Oryctolagus cuniculus: one gene and its partners. The protein of the gene in region 3 interacts with the protein of the main gene of each other region in a biochemical or structural test. Links are inferred from orthologs where the notes say so. Each region holds a gene or a part of one and is shown on either strand. Other genes may lie near its edges.

Region 1 (3,768 bases), on a different chromosome or scaffold from region 3:
GGGTGGTGCCTGAAGGCCTGTAGAGGGGGCAGAGCTGGGGAGCTGGGTATCTCCCTGGGGGCACAGAGAGGGAAGGTCCTGCCCCCGCGGTCAGACACCCTGGGACACGGCCTCTCCCTGTTTGGGCTGCAGTGTCCAGTCTCCACTGGCATTCCTGCCTGGTGGGCCTGTCTTGGAGGTCTACCCTGGCCAGGTCTCACCCCAGTGGGACTTCTCGGCAGCCTCTGGCCCCATCCTCAGCCGGCCCTCCCCGCCACTGCCTGCAAGACAGAGGCAACCCGTGGACCCCTGGGCACAGCCGCCTGCTGTTTTTCCATTGAAATTACAGCCTTGGAAGTGTTTTATTTGCCTCTCAGCTCATTTCTGACATTCCTTCCCTACCACAATGGAGTTGCCTGGGCTGCCTGGGCTTGGGGCCCCCTGGCTTGCGCAGCTGTGGGCTGACCTCATCTCTGCCAGTGCCAGGGCAAAGGGCCCGCTCCCCCAACCCCCCTCCCCCCAGGACCACAGGCCCAGCAGCGAGGGAAACTCAGCTGACACGGGCCTCCTCCACCTCAGCCCCTCCCCTCTCTCAGTAGCAGAGTGGCTGGGGAGCTCCAAGTGCAATGCTGGGGTTCCTGTCGCTGTCATCCTGGGTGAGCTGAGCATGACAGTGCCCCCCCCACACACAGGAGGTGGCAGGGCCCTCTAGAAAGATCTAGCCCAGGACAGGCATCCCAGGTTACTCTGCACGCTCTGCTCTCACTCTGCCCTCAGCTGTCAGCGGGACAGGCTGCAGGGGTCACCTTGGCCCTAGCCTGCAGGGCCGAGCTTCCCCCGTGCACTTCGCAGCTGCTTGTGCTCTGCTGCCGCCCCCACCCTCTCTCGCGCCCCCATCCCCCCAGCCACCACCGGCCCAAAATAGAAAAGGAAAGGAAGTTATTTCCATAGGCAGCAGCAGCAGCAGCAGCCCGGAAAAGCTCCCCTCCAGTGAGGGGGCGGGCGGGATTCCTGGAGCTGGAGACCAAATCAAAGCCAGGCCTGAGGCGAGCCAGTGAGCTCGAGGGAGCGAGAGTGGCCCACAGCGCCCAGCCCCGGCTGCCTTCTTACTGTGTCACTTCCCTGATTCAGCAGAACACGTGTCCTGCGGTTGCCACGCCACAGGCTGCCGAGGAGCCGCAGGGAGCTCCTGGCAGGGCTCCAGGCTGCTTCCAGGCCCCGGCCGGCCGGAAGGGCAGGCCCCCCGGGGGTCAGGAGCCGGTGTGCCTCTCCTCTCCGCCTCTCCTGCCCCCTGCCTACCTGCTGGCCTTGGCCTAGGTGCGGGCCTCCCACCACTCCCTTGCCTGGGTGCCCCTTGCAACGAGACCCCTTCCCCACACCTCTTGGTTTGCCTTCTCTGAACACAGGCTCCCGGGCACCTGAGCAGGGGGGCGGCAGTTTCTGGGGTGAGGATGCTGAGTCTGGGGTCCCACTCAAGACCACCCTGCTGGCTATGGCTCAGCCAGAACTGGAGCCTGGCTCTGCTTTACCGTCTCTGGAGGGGTCCTGGCCTCCCCCACGGCAAGCCCACGTGCAGGCAGCCTAGGGGCAACTGCTCGTTCATCTGAGCCTGGCACTCAGCAGCTGGGAGCTCGCGCTGGGCCGGGTGGGAGGCGCGCGAGCGGCTCAGCGATGCGCGTGAACAGTGCGTGTGATTCCGCAGCGCCATCAGCGCCGCGAGCAGGGAGTCGGTTCTCTAGGGCCCTGGTCCTGGAGGCAGTGGGGGCCACAGGGCTCTCCGGGCCGGATCCAGCCTGTCTGAGGACCTGATGTGATGCGCCCGAGACCCGTGGTTGGGCCTGACGGCTCCCTCCTCGCTGCACCCCCACCCTAGGACCGACGTGCTGGGCTCTGGGCCCCCTTCGAGCCAGAGGCGCTATCGGAACTGGAACCCCCCGCTGCTGGGCAGCCTCCCGGATGACTTCCTCCGCATCCTGCCCCAGCAGCTGGACAGCGGGCAGGTACTGGGCTGCCCCGCCGTCCTCTCCCACCTGCCTGTCCAGCATCTCTTTTGCCCACGCAGTTCGAGCCGGCCAAGCTTACTTCCTGATGTTTAAGCCCAGGCTGCTGCCTCACTTCCTGTCCAGGCCTGAAGGTGTCCTGTTCTACCCAAGGAAGGTGACAGCTGGAGGAGATTTGGGCCACAGCCAGGCAGCCAGTGACAGAGAGCCTTCCCCCCAGCTAACTGGCACAGGCCAAGGCTTCCCCCGCGGGAGGGGGGCTCACTGTGAGGCGGCTGCTGCCGGGAGAGTTTGGGGGTCCACGTGGAGGCTGGTGAGCAGTTTGCAGGTCTCTTCAGGACCATTCTGGCTGTAACGAAGGCAAGCAGTGATCTAGGGTGGAGAGAGAGAGAGAGGCATCGCTGCTCAGCCCCTGGCCCTTCCCCAGCAGAGAGGGCTCTGACCTGATACAGTGGGGCTGTTAGGAGGGGTGGGCTGGGGGTGGGCTGGGGGATCCCAGGCAGGGCATGCATGCAGCGAGGGGTGCAGCACCTGCTCTCGTGAGGAGGCTCCCCCACGCTCACTCCTCTCCTCAGGGTAACCCCGCCGGCCCCAAGCCTGTGAGTGGAGAGGGAGGCCCGGCTCCTGCGCCTGGGCCCGACCCCAGGGACCAGGAGAGCCGCTGGAAGCAGTACCTGGAGGACGAGAGGATCGCACTCTTCCTGCAGAACGAGGAGTTCATGAAGGAGCTGCAGCGCAACCGCGACTTCCTCCTCGCCCTGGAGAGAGGTGGGCACCGCGTGGGGGCGCTCCAGCTGCCTCTCCTTGCCCGGGGCTGAGAGGGGGACACGATGCTGGCTCCCGAGAGCACTGAGCAGCAGGCTGGGTGCCAGGTGTTGTCTGTCCTGCTCGGCATGGCCCCGCCAGGTTGTCTTTGGGGCAGCCCCAGAATCCTGCCAGCGGGAAGCTGGGGCACCTGCAGCCACCGCTTCTCCCTCCCCTGCAGGGTTTGCCCTCTTAGGTCCTCTCCTCCCCCTGCACACCTGCTCCATGCCTGGCTTTGTGGGGGGGGGGCGACAGGGGTGAGGGGGCTCAGTCGTTCCTCACAAACCAGAGCCCCGGGAAGAGGGCGGGGGGCCTGTGGGTGCTGGGCTTCTGAGACCGCCTGTGTGGACATCGGGGCAGGACACTGGTCTTGTGCTTGCGTGGGAGATGCTGAGGCTCGGCCACCTCTTCCCTTCAGGGCAGGAGTGTTGTGTGTGTGTGTGTGTGTGTGTGTCTGTGTGTCTGATGTATGTCAGTGCAGGAAGAAGGCTGGGCTGAGAGCGAGGAGGCCCCGGGCTGGCCCCAGCTCTGCAGCACAGTGCTGGAGGTCTCAGGTGCTGCACTTGAGGGTTGGACGCTGCAGCCTCCCAGGCCCTTCTCGTGCTGACCTTTAACCTCCCGGAGCGCTGTCCCTGGCAGGCCAAAGTTTCCGTGCTGTCGCCCGGTCTTTGAGAGCTGGTAGACCTGAGTGCACCGTGTGTGAGGCCTACCCCCACCCTCCTGCATCTCAGCCCCTGTGTGCCCTTGCTGGCCCGGGAGCCCCCTCCACTGACAGGAATGTGGTCCTTTTCCAGATCGATTGAAATACGAGTCCCAGAGATCCAAATCTAGCAGTGTGGCTGCGGGAGGCGACTTTGGCTTTCCCTCTTCTGTCCCAGGTAAACTTGCCTACCTTCAGAGGACCTGGGGACACAGGGGCTCACACCCCATTCTTCTTCACACAGTCGCGGTTTATGGGGTAGGGTGAGGACACAAATGAGGCTGG
Region 2 (4,371 bases), on a different chromosome or scaffold from region 3:
GAGCATTATCTCCATGCCTGGCTTCCAAAGCAGGTGCCCACCCCGCCTCTTTGTCCAGCGTTCTCTGTGACAAGGGTGGAGTGGAGACCATGCCATGTGTGGCGCAGCAGAAAGGTTGGGGACTTGGTTTTCAGGGGCAAAGCTTCAGGGAGCAGCGGGTGCTGTCTGCACGGTTTTGGAAGGGATGGCCTGTGCAGAGAGATTCAACTTCCTTTCTGTGGGCCCAGAGGGGTGGAACTAGGACCAGAGGAATAGGTGGGCTCATATGAGATGGATTTCCTCATTTCAAAGTGGCCAGGAAAAAAAGAGAACTTTTCTTCACCAAAGTGGTGGATTTACAATGTTCACTACTAATTTTTGGAGACAGGAAAGTGAATTAATAAAGGTACTCCATAGTTGGATCCAAAGAGCACAGAGAGCCCTTTTTAAGTGTTTGGTACTATATACCAGCACTCAGCACTCGGCACAATGCCTGGTATATATGAGAAGTACCTAGTGATTATTTGCTCAATGAGTGTACAGTTAATTGGATTAAAAATAAACTGACAGGGGCCAGCACTGTGGTGCAGCAGGTTAATGCCCTGGCCTGAAATGCCAACATCCCATATGGACACCGGTTCTAGTCCCGGCTGCAGAACCAGGATGCCAGCCAGCTCCGTCTGACCCAGGGCCTGTGCTCCTGCCACAACATCACTGACAAGGGAGTGCAACATGTGGCAGTCCCTGCTTAGCCAGTTTCACTTTCTGTGGTTTCAGTTACCTGCTGTTGATCAAGGCATGAAAATATGCAATGGAAACCCCCAGAAAGAAAGAATTCCAAAGTTGAAATTGCACACTGCTCTGGGCAGCATGATCAATTCTCCTGCCTTGCTGTTTTGCTCTACCTGGGGGTGTGAATCATCCTGTCAGGCAATGTAGTCACCATGTATATGCTACCTGCCCCTTAGTCATCTAGTAGCCACCTTGATAAATATCAAATTTATTACTGCAATATCATAGGACTTATGTTCAAATAACCTGTAATTTACTTAATAATGACTCCAAGAGTAGTGATGCTGGCAGCTTTATTACAGCATATTGTTATTATTTCTCTATGTTTTATTAGGTATTGTCATTTATTGTCCCTAATTTATAAATTAAGATGCACCATGTGTTTGTGTAGGAAAAAACCTAGTCTACATAGGGTTCAGTACTATCTGTGTTTCAGTTGGGTCTTGGAATGTACTCAGCTTGCATAAGGGATGTCAGCTGTGTTTTTCTTTTTCAAGGTTATTTGCACTTATTGCTTCTTCGGCAAAGATGCAAAGATTCCAATCCAGCCTTGACCTGAAGCAAATTTTACACCCTGAAACTGTCAGCCACAGGTAAGAAAACTGAAGGAGCCAGGGGAGAGGTGCCTTCAGAGCAGGAGCACTGTGGGCCTGGTTTCTAAGCAGCTCTGTTGGAGATCTGAACCCATTTCCACCCACATCAGAAGGTGGGTTTGCATCATTTGGATAGCTTTGTGTGTCTGTGATGCAAGTCCAAAATTACTGCAAATGCTACTTTACAAATTAATAGTAATTCCCCTGTGGTTGAAAGATGGGCTGTCGTCCAGACCCATGGCTCAGAGGGCCACTTACTAGCAGTGTGGTTGTGGCCAGCAGCACAGGTGCCGCATGGGCAGTGGAATCCGGGTCCCAGCTGCCTTGAAGAGTTGTCGTAGAACCCAGTGAAGAGCAGCACAGGGAGATGCTTATCTGTAAAGCCTGGTTGTATGAGTAAAGTTAGTCGTCATGATTTGTTCAATACTTTTCTATGAGAATTAAAACACCTTTGGCTTGAAATTAGAAAAAAATCATAAGTTGAATAGACTGGATAATCTTGCATTCTTCTTTAAAAAGACTTTATATGCAATATTATATGTTAGCATTACATATAATGTTCATGTGAAAATGGGAATTTCACACTGTGTCTCAGTACTTCTACCTGAGCTTGAAGTCAGCATCCAGAAGTAAGAATTGGCTCCTTCATCCATTGGTTCTAACTAGATTGTGCATCTTAAAATGGTCAACCCCTTGTTCTAGCAACTAGAAAAAGAATATCTACAGCAGCTTCCACTTATTCTTGGGTCGTCGATGCTGTGTGGGATCTTTATGTTTTGCTTATGAATGTGGCTCCAGAATTACACCAAGTTCAACCCAATTAGAGCTCCCACCACCCAGAAGGCAAGGAGGAGAGAGGAATAGAGAAACGTGTTGAGGCCAATCCTATATTCTCCTTCGTCCCAATAAGCAATACAGTACCTAAGTGCAAGTTTCCCTGAGGTTAGTTGGAACAAGTTTCAGTGAGATTAGTTGGAACCTGTGGAGCTGGGGGTGGGGGAGGGGTGCAAATCTTTGAAGACTGGGCAGAATGGGGCAGAGTGGGGCACCTCATTGGAATATTTGGAGAGTGGGAGAGGTGGCCTTGGTGGCCTGGGAGCACCACTGGGGTCACTGGGGCTCAGCAAAGCACTGACGGGGAAGTGACAGCTTTTGGCTTCATAATCATTTCACAGAGACATGGGCTGAGAAGCTAAGCTGGTTAACTCCTGTTTCATAATTATCTGGCAGTGGTTTGAGAACCAATAAACTCAAATAGTTCCACCTGCTCATAAAGCAAACAGTACAGCTGGTCAACATCAACTGCCTAAGATCTTTAGACTACATAATTAATTTAAAGATATTCAATGGGCCAGCACTGTGGCATAGAAGGTTAAGCCTCCGCCTTCAGTGCCAGCATCCAGTATGGGTGCCTGTTTGAGACCTGGCTGCTCCACTTCCAATTCAGCCCCCTGCTAATGTGCCTGGGATAGCAGTGGAGGATGGCCCAAGTCCTGGGGCTCCTGCACCCACATGGGAGACCCGGAAGCTACTCCTGGCTCCTAGTTTTATCTTAGGCCAACCCCAGCTGTTGCAGTCATTGGGGAGTAAACCAGTGCATGGAAGACCTCTCCCTCTCCCCTCTCCCCTCTCCCCTCCCCCTCCTCTTCCCTCCCCCTCCTCTTCCCTCCCCCTCCTCTCCTCTCCCCTCCCCCTCCTCTCCCTTCTCCCCTCCCCTCTCCCCTCTCCCTTCTCCCCTCCTCTCCCCTCTCCTCTCCCCTCCTCTCCCCTCTCCCCTTCCCCTCCCCCTACTCTCCCTTCTCCCCTCCTCTCCCCTCTCCCCTCCTCTCCCTTCTCCCCTCCTCTCACCTCTCCCCTCCTCTCACCTGTCCCCTCCTCTCCCTTCTCCCCTCTCCCCTCCTCTCCCCTCTCCCCTCTTCTCCCCTCTCCCCTCCTCTCACCTCTCCCCTCCTCTCCCTTCTCCCCTCTTCCCTCCTCTCACCTCTCCCCTCCTCTCCCTTCTCCCCTCTCCCCTCCTCTCCCTTCTTCCCTCTCCCCTCCTCTCCCTTCTCCCCTCCTCTCCCCTCTCCCCTCTCCCTCTCTCTCTCCCCTTCTATCTGTATTTCTGTCTTTCAAATAAATAAATAAATATTTTTAATAAAGATACTGAAACCAGCATAAAAAATTAAATATAATAAGCTCTGGCCACTAAGTCTCAAGATATGTCCATTTGCTCTGTTGTCATAGAGCTACCATTTATATTGAATTTCTACTTCTTTAATATGAAGGGTACATTGTAGGCACTCAGAAATGCCCAGACAGCATCTTTTACTTTGAAATTCTAACTTATTTTTGGCCATAATATTTTGTTTTCTCATTATGCATGAAAACGGTGACTAGCTTTGGGATTATTTAAGGTTGCTGTTTTGGGGACCCCTTTGACACTCAGCACTAGTCACATCCTTGGTGAAATGTTGACTGAATGACTTAGCAATGTCAATGACCCTGTCATGAATACCTTGTTTGTCTGTTGGTCTATGACGTAATGGAGGTTTAAGGAGAGTCTCTGATTGGGAGTCCCACTTCCTGTTTCTGGGTCTTGACAGCCAAGAAATGCCCCGGAGGTAAAGCAGGACAATGGACGCAGAAAGGGCTGACACCAAGGTGCAGAAATCTTGTCTTCTCTCCAACTAGGAGCATCCGCAGAGCTGAGCAAGGCGATCAGAAGCCCCGCAGCCCACCTCGCAGAGGCTGGCACTTCAGGGGCCAGAAGCAGGAGGACTTTGTGTCTGAGGGCTCAGGGGAAGCTCTGTAGCTGCTCACCTTGTGACCGAGGGCCTGTCCTCTCTATCCCCCTCACCTCTCAGCCCATTTCACCTGCTGCCCCCTGCAGTTCCCCTGCCTGGGCACTCCGCTCACCTGGAGCCTGGGCTGCTCCACCCTGCTAATTCCTACACACAGCACCATAAACAGCTGTGGCTGTGCCCCTGGGGCTCCTGGTGACCAGGAAAGCTGCTGCAGAGGATAG
Region 3 (4,500 bases):
TTATCATGGGAGGATGCTCCCAAGAGAAGCCACAGGCCTTGGGCCTGCTCACAGGCTGGCTGACGGAGTGCCGGCTTCTTACAAGTGGTAATCCAGTGGTCTGGGAAGGGAGCACCTGGTGCAAAGGGATTAGGAGGAGGGCACAGAGGGAGAACTCCTAGGGACAGCGCAGTTACTGCCTCTGCGGCCGGAAGTTCAGACAGGTTCCACGCCGATTGGAAAAGCACACACTGGAGATCTGATAAGGAGTGCAAGGCGCTGTCTGTCGCTTTTGGAAAATCTTATACAGAGAGAGAAGTACCATAGATTGCACGAACGCTTCTCTTCCCTTCAACAGGGATCAACCCACCTCTGCCTCCGCCCGTGCCAGCCCTCCCCTCCCCACGGGGGACTCTGGAGCAAACCTGAGCGCTCCGTCATTTCAACCACAAACGCTCCGGCCTGTGTGTGAAACATTCAAGGGGCATTTTCAAGGTATCCACTGGGAAAGCGAAGCCCACTCTGATTAAGGCGGGAATTGGGAAGACCTCAGTCCACCTGGGGCGAGTCCGGGCTCCCCAGTGCGCACCTGCGGGACCTCGGCTCAGCCCCACTCCCCAGCTCCAGCCCCCAGCTTCCTCTTTAGTAAAATGTAAAATGCCACCGATATGGGAACGGAGAAGCACTAACTTCCAGCCCAGCCTCTCCCTCTCTCAGGACCCCAGCCTCCACCCCCCACTCCCACCCCCGGAGGCCGCCCTGCCTTCCATCCGCAGACGCACAGGCCCACAGAGTCATTCTGGACACTGAGCAAACAGACTTGAGGTTTGGGTCTCTCACCTCTCCTTTCACTTCCCCGTCTTTCTCTCGGTTCCCACGGCGCGCAGAACCCACCCTGCCCGGCGTCCCCTCCACCACGGTGCCGCCTGCCGCAAACTCAAGCTCGCAAGTTGGTTTCTGGGGGCCTCCTGAGCCCCGGGGCTCGCGATAGCAACGGGGAAGCGCATGGTGCGTCCCCCGCCGCGGCCACGGCAGAGGGTGGCCGGGCCCTTCTCCCCGCGCACCGCTGCATCCCTGGGGCAGAGCGCATCCCCTAGCCCGAGGCCGCGATCCCGACCCGGGAGGCTGGGCCGCGTCCCCTTCGCCCAACGCCCGGATTCTATTCTTAGGTCGGCAGGCCGCCGGCTTTCGCTTTTCCTTTTTTCCAGGGCGCAGACCTCCGGCGGGCGGGCCGCGGTGGGGTCGCCGTGGGCTCCGGCCGCGCCGCCGCCACCGCTGCCTACGGGATCCGGCGCCGCCAGGGCGGGTCTCGCGGGCGTGGGCGCGCCCCAGCCGGGCCGCGGATCCACGCTTGGGCCGAGCCCCACGCAGGCCGCGGGCCCGGGGCTCGGGAGAGGGAGGCGGGCCCGGGAGAGGCAGGGCCGCGCCGGGCGGGGCCGCCTTCCCCGTGGGCGGCGCGCGCGTGCGGCCGGGGCGCGGCGGGCCTCGGAGGGCGGCGCGCGGGGCCGGCCCGGGCGCAGGAGGCCTCCTCGGGGCGCGGAGGGCGGCGGCTCGCAGCCCGAGCCACCATGGCCAGTGGCGGTGGCAGCAACCAGGGCAGCGACGAGGACGAGGAAAGTCTGAAGAAGTTGCTGGTCAAGCTGAACAACGTCCAGGAGGGCAAGCAGGTCGAGACGCTGGTGCAGACCCTGGAGGACCTGCTCGTGTTCACGTACTCGGAGCGCGGTAAGGCGGCCGCGCAAACTTTGCGCCTCGCTGCGCCCCGAACCGGTCCCGGCTCCTGCGCTCCTGCCGCCCGGCCTTCCCCGGGGCGCAGAGCGCCAGGGGCCCTGACTCTGCCTCTCCTCCCTCACCCTCTTGTCTTGCAGCCTCAAGGCTGTTTCGGGGCAAAAGCTTCCACGTGCCTCTGCTGATCGTGTTGGATTCGTATATGAGGGTCGCGAGTGTGCAGCAGGTGAGGGCGCCCCCCTACCCCACCCCGCGACTCCTTCTGCTGGGAACCCGACGTTTCCTGCCTGCCGGCGGGGAGGCCGCATCCCCGGGGCTGCTGGGCCGGGCCGGGCCGGGCCGAGCCGAGGTTTGGCCTCCGGAACCGCTGGCTGTCTTGAGGCTGGAGGCATTGTTGGGGGATCCTGAGCTTGACTTAACGGGCTGAGGGCCCGGCACGCTCCAGTCCGCTTTCCCAAGCCGCTACCCAAAGCTGGCTGCAGGGGTTGGGTGGCCGCGGGGACTGCTGTTGGCAGGAGGAGCCAGCCCCCCGTCGTGTCTGGGAGGAACCCCTCTGAACGGCTCCCCCACGTGCAGCCGCGGTCCAGACCAGACCGTCTGGGAAGGGCGAGTTTGACCAAGGGGCGCAGGGAACGGCAATCAGACGCAGTTAGGCGGCTGGAGGTCTGCGCCCTGGCTCTCCGCGGCTGCTCTTTCCAGTCTGAAGGCTTCCGCGCCTTCGTGAGATTCGGGCTGCGTTGTAGGATTTAAAGGAAGTGATGTTTGCTGATTGCCTCACCTGTTTGAGTTGGTGCTTCGCTAAGGTTTGTGACCTAAAACCTCTGTAGGAGTGAAACTTCGAGACCCTGCAGCATGGGGGAACCCAGAAAGGCGCCGAAGGCCTTCGGGGCGTTCAGGCAGGAGTCAGTGAGCCTTGAGAGTGGTTGACCCCAGGACGGTTACTCCCCAAGGTGATGACGTCCTGTGCAGCTTTTGAGATTTGGGGAACTGAGAGCAGTCCTGTGCCCCGCGGGTCAGGTCGCTGGGGGGAGGGGCCCGCGCACTGATCTGGCAGGCTGCAGCTGGGAGAATGGCAGTGTCTCTCCACCTTGGGTCTGTCTCTGTACCTGCAGCTCCTCTGCATGAGCCCTGGGCCCTGGATCTGCCTGCTTCCTATGAGAACACTTACATCTAGAGTAAATGTTTATTTTCTTTCAATGGCGAAGTGTTTGCCATCTGACAGTTGATGTTCTGTCTGCTGTCAAACCAAACCCAGAGGGAAGGGCAGGCGTGGTCAAGAGAGTCCTCATTTTAGCTCTCGAGTCTGGGTAGTTGTTAGGGGCTGGCTGATGGTGCTTGCTGCTGTCACCCACACCACCCTTCTTCCAGCATGTGCTGGGTGTTCTGGAGTCTCTCTCCCAGTTCTCTCCCCGGGATCCTGCACAGCCTTGGGTATGCACTGTGGGGAGGAGTGCTGCTCTGGGAAGCCCAAGGGAGCCAGGAACATAGTCCCTGATTGTTAATTTGAGAAACTGCCCGAGCCTGGGGTCGTTAGGCAGGTCCCTCGGGGTCTTTGCACAGAGTACCAGAGGCAAAGCGTGGTGCACAGTAAATAAGGGATGATGGACATGGCACCTTTTGATTCTCACAGGGTCTCACTGCTCGGAGAACTCCTGCTGGGTATCTTATCTAGCGGGAGCTCAGTGGACATTATGAGACTCCCTGGGGGTCTCAGAGTTGGGGGCTTGAGACTTTTCGCACCCCCAGGTTCTCTTTCCGTCTTGAGCTGCAGTAACTGCAGAATGCGTGCCAGGCACAGGCTCAGTGGTTTGACATCAGGACATCAGTTTGAATTAGGTGGTCTTATCTGAGGGATGTGGAAAGGGGCCTCTCCACGTAAAAGCAGGTTTCTCCCTCACCAGATTTTTTTGACTGTCGGCGCAGAAGACTTGAATGCTTCACCTGCTGCAAGTACATATTTAAGGAGTTAGGTGCCTGACTCTTCCAAAAGGGCTTTCTCAGAAGCCCGTTAATGTGACACTGCAGGCTCTGAGTTCTTCAGGACCTTTGTGTATTTTACGAATGCTTTAAGTAGATGACTGTTGGGAGACCTGGTAGCTAGGCCAAGTTCTCTCTCGCTGCCGTTCATTTCCTCTCTGCTCCTCAGTATTACTTTTTATCCGCACAGTCTCAGCCACTGAAAAGGGGGCGCAGAATCAATGAAAGTGGCTTACAATCTTGCTAACCTCTGCACTCCATTGTGCACTGATGAGATGCTTGGGTTTATAGGATCATTATCCTAAAGTGAAGCTACTGATGTGATTGCGCAGTAGCTGTGCAGAATAGGGGCCTTCTTCGGAAGATAAGCTTTTAATGGGCTGGATGAATGCATCGATTGTTACCTCTGCTGCTCTGCCAGAGATGGTCTTGGCTCACACACGCTCCGCCGAGCTCCTGCAAGCTCGGTGACTGCATCTTTCTGCAGAGCCGTTGTTGATGCTGCAGTTTCAACAACGAAAACAGCACAGGTTTTCTCCCTGTGTCAGCCAGGCAGGTACAGACGCGAGGTGAGCATCCTCGGTGATTCATTTTTTTCTTTTTATTCCACACCGGACACTGTTCATCATGTATTTTCTTAGATACTGGGGAAGGAGAGTCTCAGTGTGTCTTACGAAAGCACAGAAATAGCTGGTTTCTATGACAGCTGGATTGTCAGCGCCTGCTCAGCTTGCACGGGGGAGGGTGTGCGACTTCAGTGCAGGTAAAATTAGCTTTCAGAAGGACGGGCGGGCGCTTGGTGCAATGGTTCAGACG
Region 4 (3,768 bases), on a different chromosome or scaffold from region 3:
GGGGAGGGGAGACCAGTGGAGTAAGACCCAGGGGCTCTGCATTCCTAAGGGGAAGTGGGGCTTTCTGCCGCCGAGTGGTCGTCCGCCTGGCGTAGCCCCCCAGCCGTTACTCACCCCTCTGTGCACCAACGGACACAGAGTGGCCGTGAGGACCTCTGGGATGCCGGGGTAGCACTGGCGTTCCTCTAGTTTGTGGTGCTTAGCCAGTCTGCCTCGCAACCCTCACCCCTTCCCCCCTTGCTAAGCATGGAATCCCGGTGTTCACATGGACATCGCCACCTGGGTTCCACGTGGCCAGCATCTGCTCCCCAGCACAGGTCGCATGAAGAGGTGATGGCAGAGGAGGCTTCTGTGGGGGGAGGTCCCTGCGGCCAGCCCCGGCCCTGCCCAACCAGCGGGGCGGCCCTGAGGAGCCTGGACGCTCCAGATCGCACCTGCACCGCCGCCAAGACGAGGGGCAGGGGACAATCCCAGGCCCTTCCTGTCCCCAAACTGTGCAATCGGAAAGGCCGGGCTGACAGCCCACGGTCTTGGCCGGATCCTCAGGAGAGAACTCAGTGAGTCTCCAAAGCAGAGAGCGAGATCCGGGGCCCCAGGCTTCGGCAGGAGTCCGTGAGCGAGCTGAGGTCCTTTCCCGAAAGCCCGAGCCGCCTGCTTCACCTCAGTCCCTGGACGGCGAGCCCACGGCGGGGGACTCGGCCCCGTGCTCAGGCCGGGAGTTCGTCCTGCGGTAGGGCAAGTTCCCGTGGGAAAACAAGTGCGCGAGAGGACAGAACGGCCCTGGACGCAGACACTCTGGGATTTTGGTAACCGCTCATCACTGTGACCCCCACAAGGGGACTTGGCCCCTGCCCTGAAGTGAGAGAAGGGCTGTGGGGCGGGGCCCTTCCTGCCTGGAGTCACCTCCGTGGTAATGGCCGGAGAGCAGGACCAGGGCTACAGGCTCTGGCCTGGGAGCAGCACCCCTCCATGCACCTGTCCCCACGACAGCCGTTCTGTCGACGAGGAGACAAGCCGAGAGGTTCCGTTGTCGCCAGCACGCAGCTGCCCCGTGCACAGCTGTGGCCCTGCCTCCCTGCCCCCAGCAGCAGCCCCGGACTCCTGGCAGGGCTCCTGGCCCAGGTCAGGTTGATGCTGGTCAGCTCTGGGGAAGGTTCCTCTAGCCTCAGCATCTCGGCCCGTCCAGGGCCCTGGAGCTGGGCAGGGGTGAGTGGGATCCCACGGGTCACCCAGAGGCGGTGGTGCTTCCAGCACCCCGTGCACACACCAGACCCCCAGGACCCCTCCCTGGACAGGTGCAGGCAGGCGTGCACAGCCGTCTCGGGAGAAGCCCAGGCCGGGGGCAGCACCTGCTCCACACACGATTCTGGTGGTCACAGTGAGCACTGGGCCGCAGCCCCTGAGAGCAAGGGGCTAGCTGGTTGCCGGCTCTGCAGTGTGGACCAAGGCTCCTGAGGCTGACTCGGGTCTCGTCTTGCAGGGTGCCGAGGGCCAGAAGCCCGGGTTCGGCTATGGAGGCAGAGCAGCTGACTACAAATCGGCCCACAAGGGCCTCAAGGGCGCAGACGCCCAGGGCACACTCTCCAGGCTCTTCAAGCTGGTAAGGACCCCGTGGGAGGGGTGGGAGGAGTGGAGGAGGGCCGGCCAGGGCAGCCTTGGGGCTCCTGTGTGTGAAACGGTGGCCGACCCAGCTGACAGGTTGTGGCGAAAGTCCAGGCGGTGAGGCTGGGCCTCCCGGAGCCCAGCAGGCATGGCCTCAGCTCACCTGTGGGAACTGCACAGGTGCACAGGGGCCCGACCCTCGTTCAGGGCAGAGCGTGAGAGGTCAGGCCCAGAGACTCCAGCTTGGGCACTTTCCAAACGGGTCTGAGAACAGCTCCCCCTTGGGGGTTCAGGGTAGGCCCATGCGCCTCGCAGGGTGGGCTATGCGGTGCAGCGGGCAAAGGCGGGCCGTGGGCTGGCCGTTCCTTTGCTTAGAACAGGATCAGCTACAGACACCTTCAGAGAAATGCTAAGAGGAACCTTCCAGAGAAAAAGGGAGGGCCGGCGTGGCCCAGCAGGCTGAGAGGTGCAGACCCCGTGTGCACGGTGCAAGTCGGGCTGGTGCCGGGGGGCGGCACAGACCCCGTGTGCACGGTGTAAGATGGGCTGGCACTGGGGGAGGGCACAGACCCCGTGTGCACGGTGCAAGTTGGGCTGGTGCGGGGAGGGGGGGCGGCACAGACCCCGTGTGCACAGTGCAAGTCGGGCTGGTGCCGGGGGGAGGCACAGACCCTGTGCGCCCACACAGCTCTGCCCAGCTCGCCTCAGACAGGTCTTGAGTGTCTCTCTTAAATGCTTCTCAGGCTTTTTTTTTGGTGGGGGGCAGTCCAGGCTTTCGTCCTGAGCCCAGCGTCCTGCTCTCTGGGAGGAAGCCTGTGCCACCAGGACCCTGCCTCCTGGGAGGCCACAAGGGCAGGTCCCAGGCCCCTGCAGCTTTGAAAAGATGGGTCAGGACTGTGCAGTGCATGGGGGGGCCACCCTGGAGACAGGAGCACGCGTTGACAGCCAGGCAGGCTGCTCCATCTCTGTCAGGCCCTAACTCAGTTCTGCGTGAACTCCAGGGGTAGAGAAGGGCCCTTTTCATGGCTGTGCAGGTGCAGGAACTCCCAAGGCCCTACTGGGCTCGCCGGCCCTGGCGCACAAGGAGGTCCCTGGAAGGCAGAGGCCCAGGCCGGGGAAGGGACAAGCGAAGGCAGTGGCCAGGCTGTTTGTTCTGGGCGAGGGCTGTGAGTCTCAGCCAGTCCTGCAGCCTTGCCCGAGTGCAGCTCATGCCACAGGCGGACTCCCTGGGTGTACACCACAGGCGGACTCCCCGGGTGTACACCACAGGCGACTCCCTGGGTGTATACCACAGGCGGACTCCCTGGGTGTACACCACAGGCGGACTCCCTGGGTGGATACCACAGGCAGAGTCCCTAGGTGTACACCACAGACAGGGACTCCCTAGGTCTATACCACAGGCAGACTCCCTGGGTGTACAACACAAGCGGACTCCCTAGGTGTACACCACAGGCGGACTCCCTGGGTGTACACCACAGGCGGACTCCCTAGGTGTACACCACAGGCGGACTCCCTAGGTGGATACCACAGGCAGTTTTGGGTTCGGGGACCCTGAATGAATGACACAGCCAGAAGTGCACAGCCTGGTCAAGGAGCTCATGTCTGGGGTGGGAATGGGGATGGGAGTGAGGAGGAGAAACGCTGTAGGAAGGGCGGCAGGAGGCAGGCAGAGGAGCCACCCTGGTGGTGTGGGCAGAGCTGCCTGTAGCGCCCAGTGGGGTGGCCAGGGAGTACTACACAGGGCCGAGACCTGAGGTCAGCAGCCAGGCGCGCACAGTGGGAAACCCTGGTTCCGGCAGAAGGAACAGAACGGGACAGGGCCCAAGGATCTGTAGAACGAGGCAGCCAGGGAGAGGCCCAGGGGGAGGCCCTGGACCTGCAGAGAGGGGTTAGCCGGAGCAGCGCCCGCCCCCAGGCAGGACACACAGCCCTGGGTCTGAAGGGTAGGGGAGCAGCAGGTTCCAGGGAGCACAATGAGTGTGGCCTGCGGTTCACCCTGACCCCCAACCAGGTGTGCAGCAGAGCCTGGACTTGGGAGTCTCTGGCTGGAAAAGAAGGACAAGGCCCTTGGCAGCTGGCAGCTGAGCCCGGGCCGCAGCGCTGCACAGCGCCCCTGCCCCCAGTCGAGGGCGGCCTTCCCCGGACGCAGGCGGAGGCGCCCTGTGT
Region 5 (4,284 bases), on a different chromosome or scaffold from region 3:
CAAAAAGACTGGCAACAACTTAAAATCCACAATAAATGGCTGGTTAGATGCAAAATATGGGTAGCTCTATGCACCATGGTACTATCTGTGTAAAACACAACACATATATATATATATATATTACATATGTAACTGTGTATTTGCTTGGAGAGGTACAGAATATTCATAGAAGATAAAAAACGCACTTGAAGAAATAAGTGTTCCCCAGAAGGGAAATGCCTGTTTAGAGATAAAAGTGGGAAAGGAGGCTTTTCACCACATAACTCTTTCCTCCTATAATTTTTGTTTCCTGTTTTTATATCACCTACTAAAACATTATATATAACCCAAGTCCAGAGCACACTGTGTAGGCTGCATTGGTCCTGCCTCTAACCTGCCTTCACTCACAAGAGTATATATATATAAAAAAAAGCCAAATCTTATCATGTATTTGCTTAAACATCTCGCAAAGATTTCGCATCAAATTTACAGCAAAAGCCGGCCCTCTTACTCCTGAGCCTATTTGTTGCTACTCTCTCCTTACCTCACCCTGCTTCAGCTACGCGGCATCTGCACCGCTCAGGGGACATGTCAGACACTCCCGCCTCCCTGCATTCGCTGTGCCATCTGACTAGACTGCACGCTACTTCTCCTTCAGGTTCTTGCTAAAACACCTCGGTGATGCGGCCCCGATCAAGTCACTTCAAACGGTACCGTCCGTCCTCTCTCATCCTCCTGGTTCACTCTTAAGCGGCCCAGAGCACTAACAGAAACGAGCATCCCTGGCGTTGAAAACATTCACGCCGCGAGGTCAGGACCGGGGAAAGTCCGTTCTCTCCGACCAGATGAAGTGACGGATGTTTCACGTCAACAGAAGGGGAGGATAGTCCACTACCCGAAAAAGGCATAAAAGATCAACCTGAAGGGTTCGATTCGTAAAAGGCAGTGGAGAGAAGTGCTGGAAATGCGACAAGCACATTCCGCGGCTGGGTGGTCCAGGATTCCTTTCCCTCTCGGCGCGAGCGGTGGGCTTTCCCCGGCCCCAGTCCCCGTTCCCCTGGGGCCCTCCGGCCCTTACTTTGGTGCCTCCGAGCCGTAACACTTCCTCCAGGGTGAACCCATTCTCGGCTTCTCCGCTATCATCCTCGTCCTCTTCGTCAGGATCGCCCACTGCTTCCTCCCCGCGCCAGGGCCGCTTGGCGTGGAACTCCAAACGCGCCTTGGGGGCAGCCATGACCAACGCGCCGCGCACGCAAGCGCCACAGCTCACTTCCGCTTGTCCCGTGACGTACTTCCTGCAGGGGGCGTGTTCTCTCCCGGAAATGGCTGCAATCCCCACCCCCCGGGGCGGTGCGTCCCCGGGCAGCCGAGCTCGGCATGAGCGTCCTGCTGCTGTCCGGTCGGGCTTGGCTGTGCTCTGCGGCGCGCGGGGGTAAGTGTCAGTGCTGCAGAACCCGTACTACTTGGGGTTCTGTCCCAGTTCTTCAGCTGGGGGCTTCTGGGGTCCGGACGCTCACATCCAGCTTGAGGCACTCTGGGTGGAGAGGAGTCTGGCCGCAGACGCCGGGGGGCTGCGTGGTGGGGGGAGAAGTCTCGACGCGCTTGGGCGTCCTCCGCACGGAGTCAGCCTGTGGGGTAAGGGTTAACGAAGTTGGGTTGAAAGGTGCTTGCTCGTGTGAAGACTGATATTCTCAATGGACCTGTTTAATCTGTTTTCTTCCCCAGTCTTTCCCTGTCTTTGGAGAGGGAAATGCTTTTGCACTGGGAATGAGCGGGCAGAAAAGAACCCGACGACGCCAATGCTGCGGCATCTGGTGTATAAAATAAAGTCCACTGGCCCCATCACTGTGGCCGAGTACATGAAGGAGGTGTTGACCAATCCAGCCAAGGTATGGGTCGGGGAGCCTAAGGATCGGCCGGTGCCGGCAGGTTTGCAAGGTGGGGTCAAGGCAGGGAGGCCTGAAGGTCCGCAGCCGCGCTCGGGGGTACCTAGGGAAGAGCCATCCCCGAAGACGTGGGAGTGGGTAAATTAATCTGTCAGTCGTCAGGGCTGGGTCACGTCGGCGGCAGCGCCTGAGAGCAGAGGGCAAGCTCCAAGGGTGTTTCAGAAGCAGAGTGAAGCCGCTCGGGTTTCTGTGGGGAGGGGCGGATGACTTTCCTGCAGTGCTGCTGGTGCATGGTGCATCGTCGCTGTTGGAGAAGGAAGTGCGGAGGGGGAGACCAGCTGCCTGGAATGCTGCCTGTGTCGGGATTCGGAAGCGTGTTGTATTCTGGTTTTCCTGAGAGTGGGGGGTCACGGTCGTTAGTGTTCTAGGGTGAAGCAGAGTCGCAGCTTTCTGACCTGCAAGCCCTACGGAGGCATTTGGGGAAAGCCTGTAGCCCTTTAGTTTGGAATATCTCACGTGTTGCTGGGTTGAGATGTGACATGGGGAATTCTGGGGTTGGGTTGGCCTATTGCAGTTGGATGTGGTGGAGTGACTCCTGCGCCCAGGGGTGTGTTAAAGGCAGGGGTCTTTAATGCCTGTGGGCAATGGCTGTGAGGGGGAGGCCTCACCTAGTGTGGTGGTAGTGGAAATGGGGTGACAAGTGGGTGACGGCGTTTGCTAGTGGATTGGTGTGGCAGGGTGAAAGAAAAGGTAGATTCATGACTGATTTCTGGATTTTTAGCTTGAGCAATTGATTGGGTGATGGTCGTGTTTTTGGTGTTGAGATTGAGACAAGAGGATTACGTTTGTAGGAGTCCTGAGAAAAGGATCTATATCAGGTGCTGAGTCTTACGCATACTGTGATGGCAATGATATTCAGGTGGAGATAGTAAGGGGGCAGTTGACTGTTAAGCGTGGAATTCAGGGGCCAGCACTGTGGCCTAGCAGGTAAAGCTACTGCCTGCTTCTTCCCATTTGGGTCCAGTTCTGGCTGCTCTACTTCTGATTTGGCTCCCTGCTAATGTGCCTGGGAAAGCAGAGGAGGATGGCCCAAGTACTTGGGCCCCTGCACCCACGTGGGAGACACAGAAGCTCCTGGCTCCTGGCTCTGGATCCGGAAGAAGCTCCTGACTTCAGACCAGTCTAGCTCTGGCCTTTGCGGCTCTTTGGGAAGTGAACCAGCAGATGGAAGACTTCTCTCTTTCTCTTTCTCTCTCTCTTTCCCTTTCTGTAACTCTGCCTTTCAAATAAATAGATCAAGGGGCTGGCGCTGTGACCCAGCGGGTTAAAGCCCTGGCCTGAAGCACCAGCATCCCATATGGGCGCTGGTTCTAGTCCCAGCTGCTCCTCTTCTGATCCAGCTCTCTACTATGGCCTGGGAAAGCAGTAGAAGATGGCTCAAGTCCCTGGGCCCCTGCACCCACGTGGGAGACACAGAAGAAGCTCCTGGCTCCTGGCTCCTGGCTTTGGATCAGCACAGCTCCGGCTGTTGCGGCCAATTAGGGAGTGAACCATCGGATGGAAGACTTCTCTTTCTGTCTTCTACCTCTCTCTGTAACTCTGTCTTTCAAATAAATAAAATAAATAAATCTTTAAAAAAGGGTGGAATCCAGAGGAAAGACTGGAGATGAGTAAATTTGGTTGTCATCAGTATGTACATGGTGTTAAATGGCAGAGAACCAGGGAGAAAGGACCTACAAAAAGGCAGGCCTCCCAGTAGTAAGATTTGGAATAAGTCCGGAATTCACGATTGAGGTCTGACAAAGATTTATTTATTTGAAAGCAAGGTGTGAGAGAGGTAGGTGCTGGCTTACTTCCTAAGTGATCTCAACTGCTAAGGCTGGGGCTGAGGCTGAGCCAGGAACCTGGAACTCCATCAGTGTCTCCCACACGGTTGCCAGGGCCCAAACACTGGGGCTGTCTTCCACTGTTTTCCCAGGTGCGTTAGCAGGGAACTGGATTAGCAGTGGAGCAGCTGGGACTGGATCTGGCACTCCTGTGGGATGCCAGCATCACATTCAGTGGCTTAACCCATTGTACCACAATGCTGTCCCTAGAGTTGGGGTCCTTACCCAAGAGACTCTTGATAGAAATGATTGGCCTCATGAACTTGGATGGGAAAAAATTTATGCCATTATTTTTATTGACTTACAACTGAAATTTAGCATTTCTTCTGTTATGAACTCAGGTAATGAGCAATATCTGTGACTTTGTCATCAGTGAAAATTGCTGATACTATTGCAGTACATCTGATATCGTCACAATACAGTGGTCATCACAGGCTTCTCAAAGTACCACTGTGCTCATTTCTACTTCAAAAACCTCATTAATCATTAGGTCTTTAGCTTGATTTTTTTAACTTTAATTTTTTATTTTTTGA
Region 6 (3,768 bases), on a different chromosome or scaffold from region 3:
ATAAGAAGTATATACCACAATTCTCAATTACTTCCATCCTAGCTTCGTACTAAAATCCTAATTTTAGGGGGCAGCTGGCCTAGCAGTTAAGGTGTCGCTTGGGATGCCCATATACCATATCAGAGTTCCAGGACTGGAGTCTTGGCTGTGCTCTTGATTCTGTCTTCCTGCTAAAGTGCCCAAAGGAGCAGCAAGTGACAGCTCAAGTAGCTGGGACCCTGACACCCACATGTGAGACCTGGATTGAGTTCCTAGTTCCTGACTTTAGTCTGGCCCATCCCTGGCTGTTGTGGACATTTGGGGAATGGACCAGCAGATGGGAGTTCTCTATCTCTCTGCCTTTCAAGTAAGTAAGTTTTTTAAAATTTTAAGTAAAATGAAATCATAATATTAAAAAAAACAGCCTTTCTGCCACCTGATTTACATTGCAACTAAAAGAACACTTCCATACAGGTGGTTAAAAGATTTAATATTTACATTTTCTCTACTTATCGCTGTCAGCTCCACAGTGGATGCTTGGGTACTTTGTAAAACCTGAAGAAAAGATCATTTTTAACATCCATCAGAACATCTTTTCTAAATATGACCTGTTCAACATATCAAAAAATTATTAAAGGTAGTAAATATGAAAACATGCTTGAAAATTGTGCTCCAAAAATGCTCTTAACACGCCTGTCAATTGGGTGAACATTAAAGAGAGTACTATCTGGTGTCAACAAGAATGTGTGCAGACAGGCACAGGTGTTGAGAATGCCAATTCTTTTCATCTTTTTGGAAGGTAAGGCAAAAATATCTATCAAAACTTACAATGTAAATATCCTTTGACTCAGATATTTCACTTCCAATAAGGGATCTTACAAAAAATACTTCATGTAAAGGAAATGCCCCAGCTAACTAAAAAGAGTGCTTGTTTTGCTAGAACCATAGTAGATCTGAAATCATAAAGCCCTGGTCAATAGTAACATTCTACTACTCGGAAAAAATCACCTCCAAGAAACTACTACTCTAATAAAGGAAGTATTTATATTATTCTTATCTCAGTAGATGTTAATTTAATTTCTCCCAGTTTGTCAGAAACTATCACCCCACCCACCCACCCAAAAAAAAAAAAAAAAAAAACACCCTAGGGATAGGCATTTGGCCTAACAGTTAAGACACCTATGTCCCATATCAGGGTACCTGAGTGCAATACTCAGCTCTGCTCCTGACTCCAGCTTCCTGCAAATAAAGACCCTGGGAGGTAGCGGTGACGGCTCAAGTGATTGGGTTCCTGCTGCCATGTGGGAGACTTGGGTTGAATTCCTGGATCTAGGCTTTGTCCCAGACCTAGCCATGATAGGCATTTGGAGAGTCAAACAGCAGAGTAGAGCTCACTTTCTTTATCTCTCTGTCTCTCTACCTCTCAAATTAAAAGCATATGCCCCAAATTATGGAAGGGCACTCACCGAGCTGAAGCTAAAACCAATTGAGTGAATATTCACTTTGCCATAAATGCCCAGAGTGTCTATTTTCTCCAGACTTATCCTGTGGGCATAGAGGAGAATGTGTTTTCCATTTACAGCCACCTAGATGCACATAGAAAACACCCCCCACCAAAAAAAAAAAAAAAAGTAAGTTAATAAATTCTTATCCAAAAGTAAATGTTCTCTTGAGTTTAGCTTTATACCTTCCTTCCATGATTCTAAATACACATCTGACCAAACTGTGTTTGAAAGCAACCACAACGCTATTTCTTAACTTCTGGGCTCTTGATCTGAGTAGAGGTCATAGACCACTCTTCCCCAGACAGACTAAGCATTTCTGAATATATGTACATATCCATGTGTGCACCCACAAGTATACCTGAGACATCCGGGTTCAAAGATCCCCCATCAGTCCCTGCACAGGTGCCCTGAGGCCTTTGTGAGCTCAGGTTAAAGATCCACCCTGCCTGTTCTCCAGTTTCCTAGAGGACCACACTCTGAGATAGTCACCTACATGGTAGGCACCCCATGAATATTCATTGGATTTACTAGATGGATCAACATGGGCAAGTTACCCAACCTATTTGAGGGTTGGTTTTATCATCTGTAGACAGGAACAGTCTCTACCTCAAGGGCAACGGTTACAAGGAGATGACCAAGTAGCTTCTGCAAGTTTTTGGTCAGTATGCCCGGCTCCTCTTCTCTTCCTCCCCAGTACCCGGTGCCGTGTTAAGTTATGTGCAGAAAGCACAGCAACAAACAAAAGGTGTCTGACTCAAGGAGCTTAAAATCCCATCAGCAAACCACAAACACAATAACACCAGTACACTGTTAAAGAGTGTTTAACAGTAAACTGTTAAAAAGAATGATACAGGCACAATTGCTCAAAAGCCCACAGACAGGACGGGTGAATGGAGCTGACGAGACTTGAGGGACATTTTCCAATGCAAACAGTGTCCTTCAGGACAAAGGAATCCGCACCAGACACGTGAGTCCTGGCTGGAATCGGTGTGAATCTCCAGCCTGGGAAAGCTGGGCTTGAGGGCCAGCAGGTGTGAGAGCCTCTAGGACAAATTCTGCCTCACCTATACACCCCAGGTGCGTAAAACATTCCACAGAGCTAGTGATAGAACTTTCTACATGAAGGACTTCTAAGATCCCCTATGGATCTAAGCTGTCGTGATGTCATAGAATTATGTGGGTCAGAACTTAACTTTACCAATCCCTTCTGGTTTCTACACTGGGGTTCCCCGTCTGTCAGTTCCAGATCCTCCACACTTCGAGTGGTGGTGATCATAATTTACTTGCCCACAATTAACATATTGCTTTGTCAATTCAGAATTCAGCCCTGCCAGCAGACGTATGATCCAATGAAAAGATCTAGCCACACCGGGCCTGTTTTACTACGTGGCAACGGCTGGCTGGACAGAGCAGTTACGTCCTACCTCATGGTTAGGCCCAGTCCTACTACAGAGAAAAATGACAAAGCCAAACTATTTCTCAAATGTAATAAACAAAAGTGAAAAGCCCACCTGCGTGCTCATTCTCACCAGCGTGGATTCAACTTGTCCTTCCCCAAAACCTACCTGGAATTTTTCCTTCAGCACCATGATCACAATTTCAAAAGATTTTTCTCTATTGAAAGGCATGTCGTAGGTGATCTCTTCCCATCCCCATTTTTCATTCATCAGAGTATTGCATACGATGCAGCTGGTCCTTTTGAAACGAGGATTGAAATGAAAGGCCACATCGGCTCGAGGTTTCACGCTGCTGCCACACTGTAAATCCACTTGGAATCTATGTGGGGAAAGACACATGCAAGCACTCAGAAAGGAGGCCCACCAAGCACTGCGCTCCACGCCCAGTGATTTACAAGGCTCCCTCCTCTATTCTCTCACTAAAGGCCTAGCTGTCTCATCTTCCCTTCTTCTGCGTCTCAAGTGGGTCCAAATCTCCACCAGAACAAGAACCCACTTTTTCCACCGTTTTTTTGCAGGTAGGGCTGCCTTTATAGTCAAAGTGCTCCCAATAGATGCATATTGCCTTAAAAATCAGTACACACCTGCCTTATGTCTACTCTGGCTTCTCCCCCACCACCACATGCAGCCATCCCGCTACCAGAACACAACACTAAGGGCAGGTGTCCTAGTTGCTGAGGATTGTGAGACGGCGGCCCTCGACCCTGGGGAGAGCAGTGGAGAGCTGGAGGAAGCCCACTCCTCCAGTAATGTGATGGAGTTGACAGAAAAGATCTGGGCCACCTCCTTGAGACTGGATCGTCATATTTCATTTAACAAGTGTACAC
Region 7 (4,359 bases), on a different chromosome or scaffold from region 3:
CAAGTGAATGAGAAGTTCTCGAAGGGTGCTTGGTATACTCAGGGAAAAGCAAGAAGGCTAGTAGGTCTGAAGCAGCATGGGCTAGGAGAGTAATGATCAACTTTGAGGCTTTTCTAAGGACCTTGGCTTTTATGCTGATCTGAGGATCTACTGAAGGTTTCTGAGAGTAAGTGCTGTCATCCACCTTAATTAGGATTATTGCAGTTGAGAATACACATGAGAAGCAAGAGTGGAAGTATGAACCAAAGAGGGACGCTCAATGATCCAGGTGCAAGTTGACCAGGTTACGTGGACCTAGTGGAAATGGAGCTGAGGGAAGAATCTTGGACATACTGTGAAGGTAGCATTCATGTGATTACTGATGGACTGGATCTAGGACATGAGAGAAAGTCCAAGGTGAATCTAAAGTCTCTTGAGAGACATCAAGCCATTCACAAAATGTGTTGGGATATCGAGTTTAATGTTTGGCAAAAATATGTTTAATGAGATCGGTCAAATAACACCCTATACCAAAAGCTTACTAGTATTTAGAATGAGTACAGATGGAATTGGGATCCAGGCTTAAGAGTTCCCTCTCTGCTAAAGTATTTAAGTGGTGATGGTCACTGATGAAAGGTTGTGATTCAGCTTCAAAGCTGTTATTACCATTTCCATGCCTTCAGTTTTCATACTTGCAATACGAACATTCTTGTAACGTGAGCTATCCTGAGAGCGGAGCAAAGCACAATATTTTAAATACAGCGGCCCTGCTCCATCTTTTACTGATATTTACTGGATTTTTGTTGTTGTCGTTAACAGATTTAATACGTTGGGTGTGAAGTGACCATTACCAACTATTTAAAATACCAGAAAAAATTTTTGTAGGCATAAAAGTGAAATTCCCTTTCTTGGAATGTGTGGGAATTAAATTCACTTTGCTTCGCATCTGGAGCTAGACAGGCAAAGACGGGATAGCTGCTTCATTCTTTCTCAGTAGCGTCAGTGTGGTCCAGGCTGTTATTCTCAGAAAAGTGACTTGGTCAAGTACAGACTGCCGAGGAGGCGGTGTCCTTCTATGTCTTCTGCTTTGCAAAGGGACCTTTTCTCCCTGTCGGCAGAAACCTGAATGTTTTTTCGTTCTTGCTTTGAATTCTGGGTGCTGAAAGGAAGTAAACGAAACCATCGGTGAGCCATGCACCCACAGCCTGCCCACCGTGTGGTATGGTAACTCCGCATAGGGGGAGTTGGCTACTTTTATGCTGCACCAAGAGTCGGGGCTTGGGTGTTCGCTGGGTCTCCGCGCCGATTTCGGGTTGTTCCAGGAGCAGAGAGCAGCCGACTACGTTAGGTGCTCCCCTTTTTGGGTCCTCCCATCCCAGAGTCTCGGAGGCCTTAGCTCCTGAGGCCCACCCTCGAGCTTTTGCGGCCAGCTAGCCCCCTCCAGGCCCCGCCACCCCCAGCCCGCGCGCGCCGCGCCTGCCCTTCTTTGGCCACGCAGCCGCGGCGGAGTCGGCGCGTCCTCGCGAGCCGCCCCCGCGGGCGTCAGAGAGAGGCGGGCGCCCCGCGCGGTGACGGCGACGCCTGCGGCCCGGGAGCGCTCCACTCGCCACCGCGGGAGAGGCCGGTGACCTCTCGGCCGCCCCGCCTCAGAGGCTCAGATGGCTCAGGCGAAGATTAACGCCAAAGCCAACGAGGGGCGCTTCTGCCGCTCCTCCTCCATGGCCGACCGCTCCAGCCGCCTGCTGGAGAGTCTGGACCAGCTCGAGCTCAGGTGAGCGGCCGGCGGGCCGGCGAGGGGCACGCGGCGGGCTCGGGCGTCCTGCTCGCCGCGTGGGCGGCCGGCGGGCGGAGGCCCCGCCTGGGGCAAGCGGCGGCGAGAGAAGTTGCTTGTTGGGGTGGTGTGGATGGAGGCGGTGCGGTTTTGTGTCCTGGCAGGTTTTCCTCTCCTCGCTGAGAGAAAACGCGTTCCGTCCCAGCTAACCTGTGAGCACGTTATTGATGGACACGTGAACACACCTGTGTGTTTTAGCGAATACCCAGAGAAGATAAAAGTTAGGGTGATGGTAATGGAGATTATTTCCAGAACCTTCTCTGGGGTCCCAAAGATCTTTAAGCCCCCCCCCCCCAAGGTTGCGAGTTAAGGGAAAAAGATTAAAGTGTTCTCCCCACCCCACCCCACCCCCCGTGAAGTTTTCTTGTTCCAAAGCACTTCAGAGCAGAAAGGGGGGGGACCCCAGGAATGCATCTAAGAGCAAAAATTGTAGAGCAGTAGGCCAAGGGAGGGGCTGTAGGAGGAACAGTAACTGGGTCCTGTACCTCGTGGATTAAAGACATTATGGCTGCCTTTGCTCTCCTAAGCCCACATACTGTGTTCCAGTATTTATTTTCTTAATATTTATTACCTTACATAAAAGATGCTGCTGAGACCTTAAAAGTGCTAGTCACTGGCCCGAAAGCATGAAAAGATAGTCAACAGTTTTTCCTTTTTCCCTTGATGACAGTTTTAAGTAAGTAAGATAGTGATAGGCTTGTATAGAATGTCTAAGTAGTAATAAGTTTTGGAAATGGCTTTTTCCTTTAACAGTGTATAAAAACGTATATGTACTATCTATGAACATTTGTGTCTGAAGTTAGTGTCTGCGTTGTGGTTGTGTGCAGGTATAGTTAGGTGAAAATCTTGAGACACGCATAGCCCCCTGACACTGTACATAGGATTTGGTTCAGTAGTTTCTGCCAAGCTCTGAAGGCGCAAAGGAGTGTGGAAGCCCCAAAGTGTAAACAGTGCTGTATTGTGTGTCCTTCTCTCCCTCCATTAATATAGCAAAACATGAAGAAGTGTCTGTTTGCCCAGAAAAGATACCAGTAACCACAGTGTCTGCTAGTAAAAAAAGATTCGCTATTACTACTGGGAGGAAATCGCCAGAAAGTGTGAAATTCTCCACTCACAATTCCAGGGATGGCAACAGAGCCACCTGGGCCCTAAGCCAGGTACTGGGGTTCACTTAGGGTGCGACAAGTTGAAGAGAGAAGCAATGCTTCCTTATGGATTGCCACAGAATCAGCAAACCTGGGTTCAACACCCAGAGAAAGTGGAGTGAAACTACAGTGGCCTCAGCTACTCCAAGCCCCTCTAAGGAATGGGATTTCTTTTGTGTAGCAGCTTAGTAAGTACCTTAGACTTCTCTCCAGGCGTTCTCTACTAGCCTCTCTCCCCCAGTCAGAGAGAACAGGTTTTCTCTTATAGGAATGAGGAGCATGTTCCCCCTCCTTCCTTCCTTCCTTCCTTCCAATGACAAGCTGAGTCATTGTCCTCACATGTGGTAGGCACAAAAGCAGTCAAGTGCTCCTCTTCTAAAACAAGGCCTCTGATTTGGGGTATTACTGTATTTCTGATATTTGGTGAATGTCAAATGAATTCTGATTACTGCACATAAGTGATTAAATTACAAGTTGCTTAATTACCACTTGGGCTGAAGGAGGAAAGTCTGATTAATATGTGTGTTAATTGTTCATTTCAAGGGCTTCTCGAATAATTCTAGAGTTTTGTTTCTTCCTTTTAAAAAGAGTAATACTGAAAACTAAACAAGTGTTTCAGAAGGTTCGCAAAAATAGAGAAAAATGCTACTGCTGATCCTAACTGAAGTTTGGATGATACCATGCAGGCAATGTGCAGAGCATTGTACCAGTGAAAACTAGAATCGTGCCTAGAGGGAGGTCGAGTTTTCAAACATGAAATTCATATATAATTTATTCTCATCGTTTGAGGTCATATTAAGTAACACTAATAAAGTAGTTATGTTAGTAGAGTGAGGCATTTTAGCTTGTACTTAGAAGTATGCATGTACTGTTCTCTAATGCTAGTTTGATGTTTGGGAAGGAAACTTCTTCCCTCTGAAACCAAAAACAGGATTATACCCAGTGCTTGATGACCTGGAATATTTGGCCTTCCTGATGCTTAAAATGCTGTAAAATGTTTGGCAGTCTTCTTCAGTTTGTTTCTGATACTTGATTGTTACACAAGCCTTGCTTTTTTGACTGCATTTTGTCTCCAGATTGCGTCCCCAAAGAGGCAGTTCCTTTCTCTCCTGGTTTTCATGATTTCTGAATGGAATATAATTTTACATTTGTCAATAGCTCAAGCTACTCTGCTAATTATCTTTTTAGACATTTATCATTTATAAATAATACAGCTTACATGTCAGGCTCCATATCTGTGTGGAAATTACTGTAATCTGCACTCTACAGATGAGAAACTGAGGCTTAGAAACTAAAGACTCATCCAAGGTCATACCACCAGAGAGTAGTGTGCTTTAAATCTGAACACAGGAAGTCTGGCTCGCAAGGCTCTAAGACTTCATGCCTTAATTCTCTTAAATACAT

What was found.
Region 1: the proteins of LRRK2 (region 3) and CUEDC1 form a complex in vitro, tested with the Homo sapiens proteins (2 studies listed by BioGRID and IntAct, with this or other methods). The link is inferred for Oryctolagus cuniculus from reciprocal best matches to the Homo sapiens genes LRRK2 and CUEDC1.
Region 2: the proteins of LRRK2 (region 3) and CDC42EP3 interact on a protein array, tested with the Homo sapiens proteins (2 studies listed by BioGRID and IntAct, with this or other methods). The link is inferred for Oryctolagus cuniculus from reciprocal best matches to the Homo sapiens genes LRRK2 and CDC42EP3.
Region 4: of the proteins of LRRK2 (region 3) and MBP, one has a biochemical effect on the other in vitro, tested with the Homo sapiens proteins (6 studies listed by BioGRID). The link is inferred for Oryctolagus cuniculus from reciprocal best matches to the Homo sapiens genes LRRK2 and MBP.
Region 5: the proteins of LRRK2 (region 3) and NDUFAF7 form a complex in vitro, tested with the Homo sapiens proteins (2 studies listed by BioGRID and IntAct, with this or other methods). The link is inferred for Oryctolagus cuniculus from reciprocal best matches to the Homo sapiens genes LRRK2 and NDUFAF7.
Region 6: the proteins of LRRK2 (region 3) and LGALS8 form a complex in vitro, tested with the Homo sapiens proteins (2 studies listed by BioGRID and IntAct, with this or other methods). The link is inferred for Oryctolagus cuniculus from reciprocal best matches to the Homo sapiens genes LRRK2 and LGALS8.
Region 7: the proteins of LRRK2 (region 3) and BAG2 form a complex in vitro, tested with the Homo sapiens proteins (2 studies listed by BioGRID and IntAct, with this or other methods). The link is inferred for Oryctolagus cuniculus from reciprocal best matches to the Homo sapiens genes LRRK2 and BAG2.

The regions. Positions count from the first base shown.
Region 1 is NC_091448.1:33,330,627-33,334,394, reverse strand, and holds part of CUEDC1 (CUE domain-containing protein 1), read left to right. Parts: intron 1-1,852; coding exon 1,853-1,979; intron 1,980-2,554; coding exon 2,555-2,747; intron 2,748-3,577; coding exon 3,578-3,661; intron 3,662-3,768.
Region 2 is NC_091433.1:165,017,152-165,021,522, forward strand, and holds the start of CDC42EP3 (cdc42 effector protein 3), read left to right. Parts: upstream 1-1,341; 5' UTR 1,342-1,364; intron 1,365-4,371.
Region 3 is NC_091440.1:131,746,088-131,750,587, forward strand, and holds the start of LRRK2 (leucine-rich repeat serine/threonine-protein kinase 2), read left to right. Parts: upstream 1-1,445; 5' UTR 1,446-1,547; coding exon 1,548-1,704; intron 1,705-1,847; coding exon 1,848-1,933; intron 1,934-4,500. UniProt on the Homo sapiens protein: Serine/threonine-protein kinase which phosphorylates a broad range of proteins involved in multiple processes such as neuronal plasticity, innate immunity, autophagy, and vesicle trafficking.
Region 4 is NC_091441.1:2,285,849-2,289,616, forward strand, and holds part of MBP (myelin basic protein), read left to right. Parts: intron 1-1,480; coding exon 1,481-1,600; intron 1,601-3,768. UniProt on the Homo sapiens protein: The classic group of MBP isoforms (isoform 4-isoform 14) are with PLP the most abundant protein components of the myelin membrane in the CNS. They have a role in both its formation and stabilization.
Region 5 is NC_091433.1:165,582,358-165,586,641, reverse strand, and holds the start of NDUFAF7 (protein arginine methyltransferase NDUFAF7, mitochondrial), read left to right. Parts: upstream 1-1,268; 5' UTR 1,269-1,356; coding exon 1,357-1,411; intron 1,412-1,704; coding exon 1,705-1,868; intron 1,869-4,284. Other genes in the region: CEBPZ (CCAAT/enhancer-binding protein zeta), read right to left, coding at 1,058-1,213. UniProt on the Homo sapiens protein: Arginine methyltransferase involved in the assembly or stability of mitochondrial NADH:ubiquinone oxidoreductase complex (complex I).
Region 6 is NC_091444.1:61,223,891-61,227,658, forward strand, and holds part of LGALS8 (galectin-8), read right to left. Parts: intron 3,261-3,768; coding exon 3,050-3,260; intron 1,566-3,049; coding exon 1,446-1,565; intron 535-1,445; coding exon 478-534; intron 1-477.
Region 7 is NC_091436.1:112,404,819-112,409,177, reverse strand, and holds the start of BAG2 (BAG family molecular chaperone regulator 2), read left to right. Parts: upstream 1-1,475; 5' UTR 1,476-1,637; coding exon 1,638-1,750; intron 1,751-4,359. UniProt on the Homo sapiens protein: Co-chaperone for HSP70 and HSC70 chaperone proteins. Acts as a nucleotide-exchange factor (NEF) promoting the release of ADP from the HSP70 and HSC70 proteins thereby triggering client/substrate protein release.